Linked DNA regions of Diceros bicornis minor. The main gene of each other region encodes a partner of the protein of the gene in region 3 in a complex. Links are inferred from orthologs where the notes say so. Each region holds a gene or a part of one and is shown on either strand. Other genes may lie near its edges.

Region 1 (3,746 bases), on a different chromosome or scaffold from region 3:
GGCATTTTGAGCAGTGCTTGTTGGCCGAGTTTTAGAAAAGTTCAAGGTCTAGTTATTCTGAAACAGCAAACAATACTTTAATGTTACTGATACCATTTGGTACAAGCTACTTATATTAACAAGCACTCTCTACATTAGTGTTACTGAAGTCAAAATAGAAAATACAGGGGCCGGCCCGTGGCTTAGCAGTTAAGCGTGCGCGCTCTGCTACTGGGGGCCTGGGTGCGGATCCCAGGCGCGCACTGACGCTCCGCTTGTCCAGCCATGCTGAGGCGGCGTCCCACATACAGCAACTGGAAGGATGTGCAGCTATGACATACAACTATCTACTGGGGCTTTGGGGAGAAAAAGGGAAAAAAAAAATAGAAAATACAGAACCAGATCTGTAGCAAGGTCTTTATTAAACTCAATTGTTGGCGATTTAGTTTCAGCAAAACAATAATATATGTTAATCAGATCAGTGGTTCTCAATCAGGGGCAATTCTGCCCCCAAGGGTCATTCAGTAATGTCTGGAGATATTTTTGGGTTGCCACAACTTGGGGAGTACTACTGGCATCTGGTGAGTAGAGACCACAGATGCTGCGGAACATCCTACAACGCACAGGCCCACCCCCCCCCACAACAAAGAATTAATTATCCAGTCCAAAATGTCAACACTGCCAAGGTTGAGAAACTCTGCATTAGGTTAATGTTAATTTGAAGTTATCGATTGGGTAGTTCTGTTTACTTTGTAAAAATATTTCTTTTTATAGTTATTTAAGAGCTATATGTTTGATTTTATACTTAGCTTAATGTGTATACATATTCAGTATTACAATAAGATGATTTTGATCAACATTGGGCATTCCTGACAACTTTTCCCTTTATTCGAATGTGAAAAATACTTCTCTGCAGAAAGTATGTAACATTTGCTGGTTTTGGTGATCTTCTTTTCTTCTACAAATATCTGAACACCTACTACGTGGCAGAAATTGTGCTGGGTGCTCTGGGTAGATCAGTAAAGACCACTGTGGTCTTTGCCCCCGTGAGCAATCTATGTGAGAAAAAGACTATAAACAAGTAACAACAATAAATAATATGAATTGTGCTAAGTCCTATAAGGGAAACAAACAAGTTTCTGTGATAGAGAATAATGGCAATATGGGGAGGATACTCAAAGAGGTGGTCAGAGAAAGCTTTTCTGAGGAGGTGACTTTAAAGCTGAGATCTTGAGGAGGAAAATATCTGATTGAGACCTTTTTATAAGAAAGGAAAGCAGCTATCTTTCCTATACTCTGATATTTCCTTTTACTTCAGACACTCAAGCACCCACAAATACTTCCTGAACATTTTCCTCCTATCTGCTTGGCACTATGCTAGTTTTGCGGGGGAAAATAAACAATAACCAGAGGAATCTATTTGATTGGTAGATTTTATAGACTAAGAATGTAATTTTTCTGCTCTTCCACAGCCTATACTGCCAATTCTCATAGGAAAAGGTATGATTTTGTGATCAGACAGAGCTAGATTCAAATCTTGCCATTACTAGGACTAGCTACCATAAAGTTCTCTGAGCTTCAGTTTGCTCATTTGTAAACTGGGGCTAACAATACCTAAGTTATTAAATTATTGAGAATTAGATAACATTGCTGAAAGCAGAAGTAGAAAAGAGTAGTTCAGATACTGGAGCCAGACAGACCTGGGTTCAAGATCAAGCTCGCAAATTACTAGCTACACGGACACTGGGAGTTAATCTGTGAAATGGAGATAGGTGATTGTGAAGATTAAATGAGATAATGCATATGGTACATAGCCCTTCCTCTTCATACATTCCTAGTTACACGAAGGCCCCCTTCCAAATTCTCCTAGTGCAGAAATTTCCTGGAAAAGGAGTAATGAGGGAAACACTCTCATTTATTCTTTCATTCAACGAAATTTGCTGAACCTTTATTGTGTGTTAAGCGCTATGTATGTGGACTAGCTTTCAAAACTCAGTTTAAAACAGAGTGCAAACGTGAAAATGGGAGAAGCTGCCTCCCTCATTTTACGTCCAGTTCCCCAGGCACTCTCTTTCAGACACCTCCACCTCAGGCCGGGTCCCGGGCTCCCTCCTTCTCCCGGAAGGCATGGCCCGTCGAGGTCTGCCCTCCGTTCCCCAGCCTAGGCCCAGCCTTCTCAGGGTGTCTACAACACCCGTAGGCTCCTCAGGCACTGCCCTACAGTTACCTGCCCAGGGACACGCCCCCCGAATGCCTCAGCCCCCGCAAGCCCCGCCCCCTCGGTCCCTCAGACTCCTCCCCAAGCATTGGCAGGTCCACCCATTCTGCACTAGCTAGTTCCCGCGCTCTGAGCCGGACAGTACCTGGAGGCCATTACGCTTGTTCCAGGTGAAAATGGACCCTGGGTACCCGCTCAGAGCCAAGAGCAGTTCGTGGATCATTCCGACGGCGGACCTCGAGTCACTATATCCGCCGCCCCCTCCTCCAGCACCTCTCCAGGAGACCTCGGAGGCGAGTGCCCCTTCCCGACCCGCGCACAAGCCCCTGGGACGGGCGGTTCCCCCCGAATCTACCCGCCAAGACAATTGCTGCTGGAGGTGCGGAGGGGAAGCGGGGAAGAGGTCGGCGCGCCGGGTCCCGGAAGTGTGCGGCGCTCGGCTAGGCCCACTCGCTCGCTGCCGCCGGCTCTCCACACGAGAGGAGTCGCTGTGTCTGACCTTGCGCATGCGCCGTCAGCGCCCGAGTCGCTCGCTCGGACTTCCGGTTTGGGAGCCGGACTGGGAGGCTGGTAGAGCCCGAGCTGGGGCCGGACCCCGAGTTGGTGAGGCTGGCCCCGGGGCAGAGATGTGAGCGGGTTGAGGGACACCCCGAGAGGGAGACGCTCCCAGGGGTGAGCCGGAGGGTGCTCTCAGGGCGCTTTAGCCCCGTCGGAGGCCTCTGGAGGGACTGCACGATGGCTCCGAGAGTGCCCTGGCCGGAGGGAGCGAAGACAAAGAGGCCGGAACCTCGCACGCGCCGTTCCTTGAGCTGAGCTCCGCGCTCGCGAACCCCGCAGCGCTCGGAGCCCTGGCCAGCACCCAAGCTCGTCCTCAGGAGACACATTACTACTGCCCCCTCGGACTTCCTCTCTCCACGACCTCAGTGACTCTCCCCGAGCCCACCTGGCCCTCGCTTCGGGAGCCAAAACCAACTTCTCCCAATGCGCCAGGTTTCCCGTCAGTAGTTCCTGAATATTTGCCGAGCGGTTACTTCTGCTGTGAGGGAAAACAAAGACCCAGTATTCAGTACTTGATTTTCGTCTGGGGTGGGAATTGGTAGTTGTGGAGTCTGAGGGGCCGGGGCGGACGTAGGGGCCTCGGGAAGGACTGCGGAGGTACTGGGGGAGATCAGCTGCGACCCGCTGGACAGAGGCTTTTTGTTGCCTTCAGCAGGATGGTGACCTCCTTGTAGATCCTTTCGAGCTCCAGGTCTCCCATATGGTTCACTATGCAGCATTGGTGACGGGAGCAAAATGGGATCAGATTTGGGGGAGGTGGAGGAGGAGCAGGCAGTACTTTCTATTCTCTGCTGCTTGCCGGGGCTGCCCTGAAAGTCACCCAGAAATGGAGTTTTTGCAAGGTCTCTCTCCTTCATGCTGTTTTGCCTTGCTGTCCTGAAGTTGGTGCTACCTCAGGTGGCCACGTAGAGCATAAGGGAAGTCAGCCCAGATCTGGCAAGACTTTAGACATGAGTATATTCCTTCTGATAGTTCCATCTCTCTCTACCCT
Region 2 (3,746 bases), on a different chromosome or scaffold from region 3:
GGGGAGAGTATTCACTTTGTTGCGAGTCCACCTGCCTAAACAGACTGTAAGTAACTTGGGGTCAGGTCCTTATTTCATAACTTGGGCCATCAGGTATGGCTTTGTTGGTCCTTTGTTCTCTGGGCAGGGGCTTGGGAAGGGCAGGGTGTATGTGTCTCACTGGTTTGGGGAAAAGCCCCCCACTCCCTCCTCCTATGCTCACCACACAGTCTGCGTTCTGGGTCAGCCTCTTGAGTGTGAGCAGCGAGTTGTAGGGCTGGACCACCACGTCGCTCATCTCATCCTGGTTGGGAAACACTGAGTACGTCTGCACCAGCTTCTTGGGGTACCTGGGGGTGAGGAAGAGCGAAAGGGAAGGTGGCACAGTGAATTGGAAGGCCCCCCATCACTGCCCATCTCTGCCTTCTCTAGGGTCTACAGGGGCCATTCCTTTCCAAGTGCCACCAAGCTCTTATGCAAAAGGGGTGAGGGCAGAACTGAGTCTTCAGAGCCCAGGAGCCAAAAAGGATAAGCCTAAAGATTCACTCTGTAGGTCTCCTCCTTCCCTAGGCAAACCTCTCTCCCCAGAGTTATTGCTTCCAAGATGTTCCCTGGGTAGCCAGGCTCTGATCCTACCTATGACTCAAAGGGGTAGTGGCAGACCTTCCAATCCAAGAGAAAAAAGTAACCAAAAGGAAAAACATTACCTAGAGAACTAGGGCTAATGCCTTCTCCCCAAACACAGGCTTACCTATCATTCAGTCGTTCGAGGAGGTAGGAGCCCAGGCCAGAACCTGTCCCCCCAGCAATGGAGTGACACAGCACGAAGCCCTGCATAGAGAGGGACAGAGAGGCAGTCTCCAGGGATCTGGGGAAGATGCTTCAGGCTTGTCTCCTTCCCACTCCCAACACACTCATGTTTCAAGGCTTCCTGTGTATCCATCCAGGCTGAGGCTCCTTGGGAAGGAAGGCTCATGCCTAAGGAGCTGATGCCATCCAGACTAGGATCTCCTTGATGACAACTGTACCTTATTTACCCCGATATCTCACATCTGATGCTCAATAAATGAGTTTGGAATCGAATTGCCCCCATCACACCACCCATTCAGCCTACTACCTGACCTTCCCCAGCACTTTTCAGCCTTTTTTTTTTCTTCAGTGGGCAGAACCTCACCTCTAGGCTGTCACTTCCATCTGCTTCTCGGTCTATGATGTCAAAAATGTCTTCATGGATTTTCTCACCCTGTATAGAGACATGGGGAGGGAGGGTCAGGATGAAGTCTCTGGAGAGCATCTCTTTTTAGCACCAAGAACGCTACCCTGGGGCACTGCTGCTGTCCTCAAGCAGAGCCTCAGCAGGAGCCCTCAAACCAGAAATGCTACTTTGTAAATGATTTGCACAAAGTTTGCATAAACTCCCTGGCTATCCCTCTTGTTAGGGTATCCCTTTGTCTCTTATTTATTGTCAGTCTGGTCTGGTCAAATCCCCAGGCTGCTTGAGCCTGCCTTGTCCAGGGGAGGGAACATCAAGGGTCTCTGAGATGGCCATCTGGATACCTGGGAGAATCCGCTGGCCCAGTTGTTGCCAGCCCCTCCTCCATGCTCTGACAGGTAGATGTTCTCTGGGTTGTAGAGCTTGGCATAGGGGGAGTTGAGGATGGAGTGGATCACCCGGGGCTCCAGGTCCAGCAGCACGGCCCTGGGGATGTAGTGCTCATCGTCTGCCTGTCATGGGGAGTCCAGGAGGGGGCCCAATCAGCTAAGGCCAAGGCCCCCGTCCTCCCAGCTCTGGCTCCTGCCTGCCCTCCCTCCTCAAGCCAGCCGCCCTGGCTTCTCTGCCCAGCAGGTTTCCCAGCACCAGGCCGCTGCCTTCCCTTTAGGACCCCTGGCCAAGTCGCTGGGGGCACCTGGTAGAAAAAGACGTCCTTGCGGTCAGTGCCCTCGGTGGCAAACTCCTCCACGATGCCCTCGGGGCTGATACCATGCTCGGCGCACAGTTGTTTCCAGAACTCGAACCCAACTGGGGGATGGGAAGAGATGCCTGAGTCAGGGTTAGGCTGTCACACTCAGAGGCTGCACCCAAGACGCCTGGTCTGCGAGCCGTCACAGCCCAGGGCTGGAGGCGCGGCTCTCAGTCTGGGGCTCATTCATCATGCGCAGTTACGGCAGGGGGTTCATGGAAGGGAAAGGGGGACTGGAGGATGCCAAGCACTTGGGTGGGACCCGAAGAGGCAGAACCGGAGACTGGAGGGGCCCGCCGCTCGCTTGCTCACTCTGGTTGCCGCACTGGCCCAGCTGCAGGGTGATGATCTCCCGGGGCATCGCTCTCCAGACGTGGGCGCGCCAGCCTGGCCCGGCGGGAGTCACGGCCCAGACGAACGCCTAGCAGCCGGGTGCGCAAGACGTGGGGAGAGCGCGCGCTCTTCGCCTTTTGACGCGGGTGCTCGGTCTGCGCGTGTGCAGTGCGGGCCTCCCCGCGACCGGGGGGCCGCGGAGCCCAACCTGGGCATCATTTCCCCCACAGCAGTTGCAGCTGGAATTCGGCACAGGCGCAGAGGAAGGCCACGCCCCCTCCTGCCCGCCCACCCCAGCTCCGCGCCTGCGCGGTGAGACTTGCCGGGGTTGCAGAGTAGCGACCCGGGTGTGGGGGAGGGGAGGGGAGCGGGGGTGGGGGGGGAGAGAGGCCCAGGTGTATGGAGTCAGTGGCGCTATATATATAGGTGAGCTACTCCGCTGGCTCTGCTGGAGCCAATTTTCTTCTTTTAAATTTCTATTTTTAAATTAAATATATCTAACAAAATTTACCATTTTAACCATTTTTTTTAATAAAGGATGCTTAACTTTTTTTTTTAAGTAAGAGTGGCCCTGAGCTAACATCTGTTGCCAATCTTCCTCTTTTTCTTTTTTCTCCCCAAAGCCTTAGCACATAGTTGTATAACCTAGTTGTAGGTCCTTCCAGTTCTTCTCTGTAGGACGCAGCCACAGCATGGCTTGATGAGTGGTGAGTAGGTCCGTGCCCAGGATCCCAAGCGGGGAACCCCGGCCGACCAAGCAGAATGTGCAAACTTAACAGCTATGCCACCGCTATGCCATCAGGCTGGGCCCCATTTTAACCATTTTTAAGTGTACAGTTCTGTGGCATTAGGTACATATGCATTGTTCTGCCACCGTTACCACCATTCATCTCCAGAACTTTGTCATTTTCCCAAACTGAAACTCTGTACCTATTAAACAGTAACTGCCCCCCATCACCATTCTACTTTGTTTCCATGAATCTGACTACTCTAGGTGCCTTCCATATACTGTGGAATCATACAGTATACATTATTTGTCCTTTTGTGTCTGGCTTATTTCACTTAGCATAAAGTCCTCAAGGTTACTCCATGTTGTAGCATGTGTCAGAATTTCATTCCTTTTTAAGGCTGTATAATATTCCCTTGTATGTATATACCACATTTTGTTTACCCTTATTCGTCTATTGATGGACCATGAGGTTGCTTCCACCAGTTGGCTATTGTGAATAATGCTGCTATGAACATCTATGTACAAAGATCTGTTTGAGTCCCTGCTTTAAATTCTTCTGGGTATATACCCAGAAGTAGAATTGCTAGATCATATGGTAATTCTATGTTTAATTTTTTGAGGAATTGTTGTATCATTTTCCACAGCAGCTGCACCATTTTACATTTCTAACAGCAATGCACAAGGGTTCCAATTTCTCCATATGCTTGTCAACACTTATTACTTTCTGGGTGGTTGTTGTTGTT
Region 3 (3,746 bases):
ACACACGCTCAAAGGCTCTGTGACCCAAAAAAAGGTTAAGAACCACTGTGCCAACAGCTCAGTGAAGATGAGCCATGAGTTAAAGAAAACATCAAGTGGAGAAGACTCAGCACACACCCTCACAACATGCTAACAATGCACATTAATTTGTAATTCTACACTGAGAAAGTGAGAGTCTAACCTCGTGTGATGGAGAACTAGTTCTCCATACGTAAACATCACAGTGTCACAGTATACAAACAGCAAATACTGGCCAGATGCAGGGTGTCTCCAAAGAGGAAAGCACAGCAGTAAGGACCAGCTGGTGTATTAAGTCACTAGCGCACGTCCTTTGTGAATCAGGAGGTGTTCCTAGTAACTACAGTTACAGGCGCAGGCACAGCAGGGCACAGGCTGTGGAACCCCAGACAGACTGAACCCTGACTTGGCCACTTCCAGGCCAGAGGGCCCTGGGCAAGGAGCTTGCCCTCTCAAAGCTTCCTCTGAAAGGGGTGAGTAGTAAACGCCAGCCACAGAGCTGCTGTGGAGACTGATCGTCTTATAAAGCACCACAGGGCCTGCGTGTACTGAGTTCTTGCACTAGTGTTATTAGAAAAGCAGGGGGGGCCGGCCCGGTGGCGCAAGCGGTTAAGTGCACGCGCCCCGCTGCGGCGGCCCGGGATTTGCCGGTTCAATCCCAGGCGTGCACCGACGCACCGCTTGTTAAGCCATGCTGTGGTGGTGTCCCATATATAGTAGAGGAACGTGGGCACGGATGTTAGCCCAGGGCCGGTCTTCCTCAGCAAAAAAAAAAAGGAGAATTGGCAGATGTTAGCTCAGGGCTGGTCCTCCACACACACACACACACAAAAGAAAAGCAGGAACAAGTGCTGCTGCTATTACCACGTAAAGCCAACCACTGCAAGTGTTCATTGTTGCCTGACAAATGGTTGGTTTTACAAAAGGAAAACTGGATCTGAATCACTGAGAGCATCGGAAACCATCGGTTATCCTACTAGTCACCCAGGGCCCTGAATGAGGCCCTACAAACCACAGAAAACAGAAAAGAAAACACGAACTCTCCCACTGCCAGCCTCTTCATACCTAAGAGCAACCAGATTGACCCACATTCCAAAAGGCTTCCTAAGGACTGCGGGTTGTCCTGTAAGGGCTGGCCTGAGGACCACCTTGGCAAGGATGCTGCTGCGTTTACCATGGACACAAAACACCCCTCCACCAGATACAAGCAGGCGGAGAGAGCTCTTCTGAAGAGAGATCACCTAAGTGAATATTTACTTAAAAACTATCTTCATGAATCTTCACAACTGTAGTAGAAATAAAACCACAGATACCCCACATCACAAGTATTAATCCTCGGAGGAGTCCACTGTTCTCTGTGGATTTGGGGAACAATTCCTGCAAGATTTCTGGCTCTGCCCTGCAGGGAGCACCTCCCCTCAGGGGACCTCTGGAAACGCATAGGGGTAACTTTTGGTTGTCACAGTGACTGGAAGGGTGCTCTTGGTATTTAGTGGGCAGGAGCCCAGGGAAGTTAAACAGCAACAGACACGTCCCACCAAAAATGCCAACAGCGTACCCCCTAAAAACAGCTGTGAGGAACATTTAATTGCAGCGGCTCACGTGATCTTTTTGATGCTCTTGACTTGTGTTAGTCACCACAAGTGGACAGACGCAGACTTCGGCGACTGAGCAGAACCCATCTCCTCCTCACACGAGTGTGAGGCAGCGCAGGGGCAAGGAGGCAGCGACACCTATGCACGAGTCAGGCACACACACCTGTGAACATCTGACTGAAACACAAAGGGAGGTGACAAGCACTCTTTGTTGAAGAGCTCAAAGCTAATTGGACAAACTGGCTTGAAGAACATTACTTTAAAACGTGTGAAAAATGTCAGGAGCCTAATGCTGTCTCAGAGACAGAAAATCAATGCATAAGAGATGAAAAACAGTCTGCGTCTGTCTAGAGCTCTTCTTAGGCACGCAAATGACCGGTGGAGGACGTAGCCACAAACCTTTACTTCCAAAATGAAGTGAGTGCAAGTTTCTAATTATATTTTTAAGTTACATTTTTAACTTCTTAGAGAAACAGCAACCCATTTCCCTTGCCACTGCACGTATGCGCGCCCGGCGTCTGCTCGGTGCGGAACCACTCGGGAACCACTCGGCGTGAGGAGTGGCGAGCGGGCCTGCGGCCGTCCTCCGCAATAGGGCTCAAGCATCCTTGCGTCCCTTCCGCGTCACCCGTCACCATTTAACTCGGTAACTGTGTCACGAGTTAGACGTCCGCCTCTCCTGCCGGGCTGCAGGCTCCGGAGCGGCGGGACCACCTTACTTCTACACGCCGCGCCCTGTCCGCGCCGGGAGAGGATGGGGTGGGATGGGGGACAATGGGCAGGCGGGAAACAGCAGGGCCTGGCGGGCCCTGGACCGGGGCAGTGGGAAGCCACCGAAGGGTTACGAGACAACTCAGGTCTCCACAGAGACCTGGCCCAGAGGCGGCCGCAGCCCGTCAGCCGGGAGAGAAGGGGTGCGGACGGGGGACGGCACCGGGGACGGGGGGAGGGCGCCAGCCGCGCACAGGGGCGGACGGCGAACAGAGACCCGCTCCGGATCCGAGCCGGCGGCGCCACAGCGCGGAGGCCAGCTCTCCCCGCGCCGGCCGGGCGTCCGGTGGGCAGAGGGCTCATGCCACCCCCCGGCCCCTACCCTCCAGACTCGGACCCCGCCACCCCTAGTCCCCCGGGCTCAGGCCCCCCGACCCCGGCTCCGACTCACCGCAGGACCCGCGCGCGCACAGCCCGCGCCCGCGGCGGAAGTGGCGCGACGTCACGTCCGGCCCCGCCCCGGCCGGCCCACAGACGGTGGCTGACAGAGTGTGGCGCCGCCGCCGCGCACGGCGATGCAGCTGCCCCCCGCGCTGCACGCCCGCCTCGCCGGGGCACCTGGGGCGGCCGAGCCGCTGCCCGTGGAGCGGAACCCCAAGGCCGGGGCCGCGCCTTTCCGCTTCATGGCGCGCCTGGTGCGCTTCCCGCGCGAGCATGAGTTCTTCGAGGTGCGTGAGCCGACGCCGAGGGCCGTTGTCCGGCGGCGGGGCCTGAGGCTCGGGGGTGGGGCCTGGGCCGTGGGCGGAGTCTGGTGGAGCGGAGCCTCCGGCTGAGGGGCGAGGCCTGGGTCGTGGGGCGGGCCCTGAGGCTCAGGGGCTGGGCTTGGTGGAGTGGGGCTTCTGGCTGAGGGGCGAGGCCTTGGTCGTGGGCGGAGCCTGGTGGAGCGGCGCCTCCGGGTGAGGGGCGGGGCCTGGGTGGGGGGTGGGGCCTGGTGGAGCGGGGCCTCTGGCTGAGGGGCGGGGCTGCGGCTGGGCGGGGCTGCGAGGTGCCGGTTCAGCCCACGGCGCGTGTTCTACAGGAAGGGGACGTCCAGCGGCACCTTTATCTCCAGGACGTGCTCACGCAGGTTGCCGGGGAGCCCGAGAAGCCCAGGTGAGAGAGGCCCTTCTCGCCCCCCAACCCCACCCTGCCTCCTTCCCGTGGCTCCCATCCTCCCCTTCCCGACCACCCCTGGGGTGGAGGTGGGGAGGACCTGCCGCCGCGCCCCCTGCCTGCACGGTACGCGCCGGAGAGGCTGGCCTCCCCACCGCCTAGCTGGTGTGAAAATATAGTTCTTAACAGGGTAGGATTTGGGGTTGTAAAAGAAACACTCAAAACTCTATCGCGTCACTTAAAATGAAGTTGTCGACAGGGAGTTTGATG

Evidence for each region. The genes of interacting proteins can lie anywhere in the genome.
Region 1: TUBGCP2 (region 3) and TUBGCP4 share a complex: the UniProt entries of both Homo sapiens proteins name them as parts of the gamma-tubulin ring complex. The link is inferred for Diceros bicornis minor from reciprocal best matches to the Homo sapiens genes TUBGCP2 and TUBGCP4.
Region 2: TUBGCP2 (region 3) and tubulin gamma-2 chain share a complex: the UniProt entries of both Homo sapiens proteins name them as parts of the gamma-tubulin ring complex. The link is inferred for Diceros bicornis minor from reciprocal best matches to the Homo sapiens genes TUBGCP2 and TUBG2.

What each region holds. Positions count from the first base shown.
Region 1 is NC_080744.1:40,808,311-40,812,056, reverse strand, and holds the start of TUBGCP4 (gamma-tubulin complex component 4), read right to left. Parts: upstream 2,790-3,746; 5' UTR 2,706-2,789; coding exon 2,343-2,705; intron 1-2,342. UniProt on the Homo sapiens protein: Component of the gamma-tubulin ring complex (gTuRC) which mediates microtubule nucleation.
Region 2 is NC_080757.1:41,714,677-41,718,422, reverse strand, and holds the start of tubulin gamma-2 chain, read right to left. Parts: upstream 2,488-3,746; 5' UTR 2,302-2,487; coding exon 2,253-2,301; intron 2,000-2,252; coding exon 1,887-1,999; intron 1,705-1,886; coding exon 1,537-1,704; intron 1,223-1,536; coding exon 1,154-1,222; intron 811-1,153; coding exon 731-810; intron 330-730; coding exon 203-329; intron 1-202. UniProt on the Homo sapiens protein: Tubulin is the major constituent of microtubules, protein filaments consisting of alpha- and beta-tubulin heterodimers. Gamma-tubulin is a key component of the gamma-tubulin ring complex (gTuRC) which mediates microtubule nucleation.
Region 3 is NC_080745.1:95,367,428-95,371,173, forward strand, and holds the start of TUBGCP2 (gamma-tubulin complex component 2), read right to left. Parts: upstream 2,844-3,746; 5' UTR 2,776-2,843; intron 1-2,775. Other genes in the region: ZNF511 (zinc finger protein 511), read left to right, coding at 2,900-3,052, 3,403-3,476. UniProt on the Homo sapiens protein: Component of the gamma-tubulin ring complex (gTuRC) which mediates microtubule nucleation.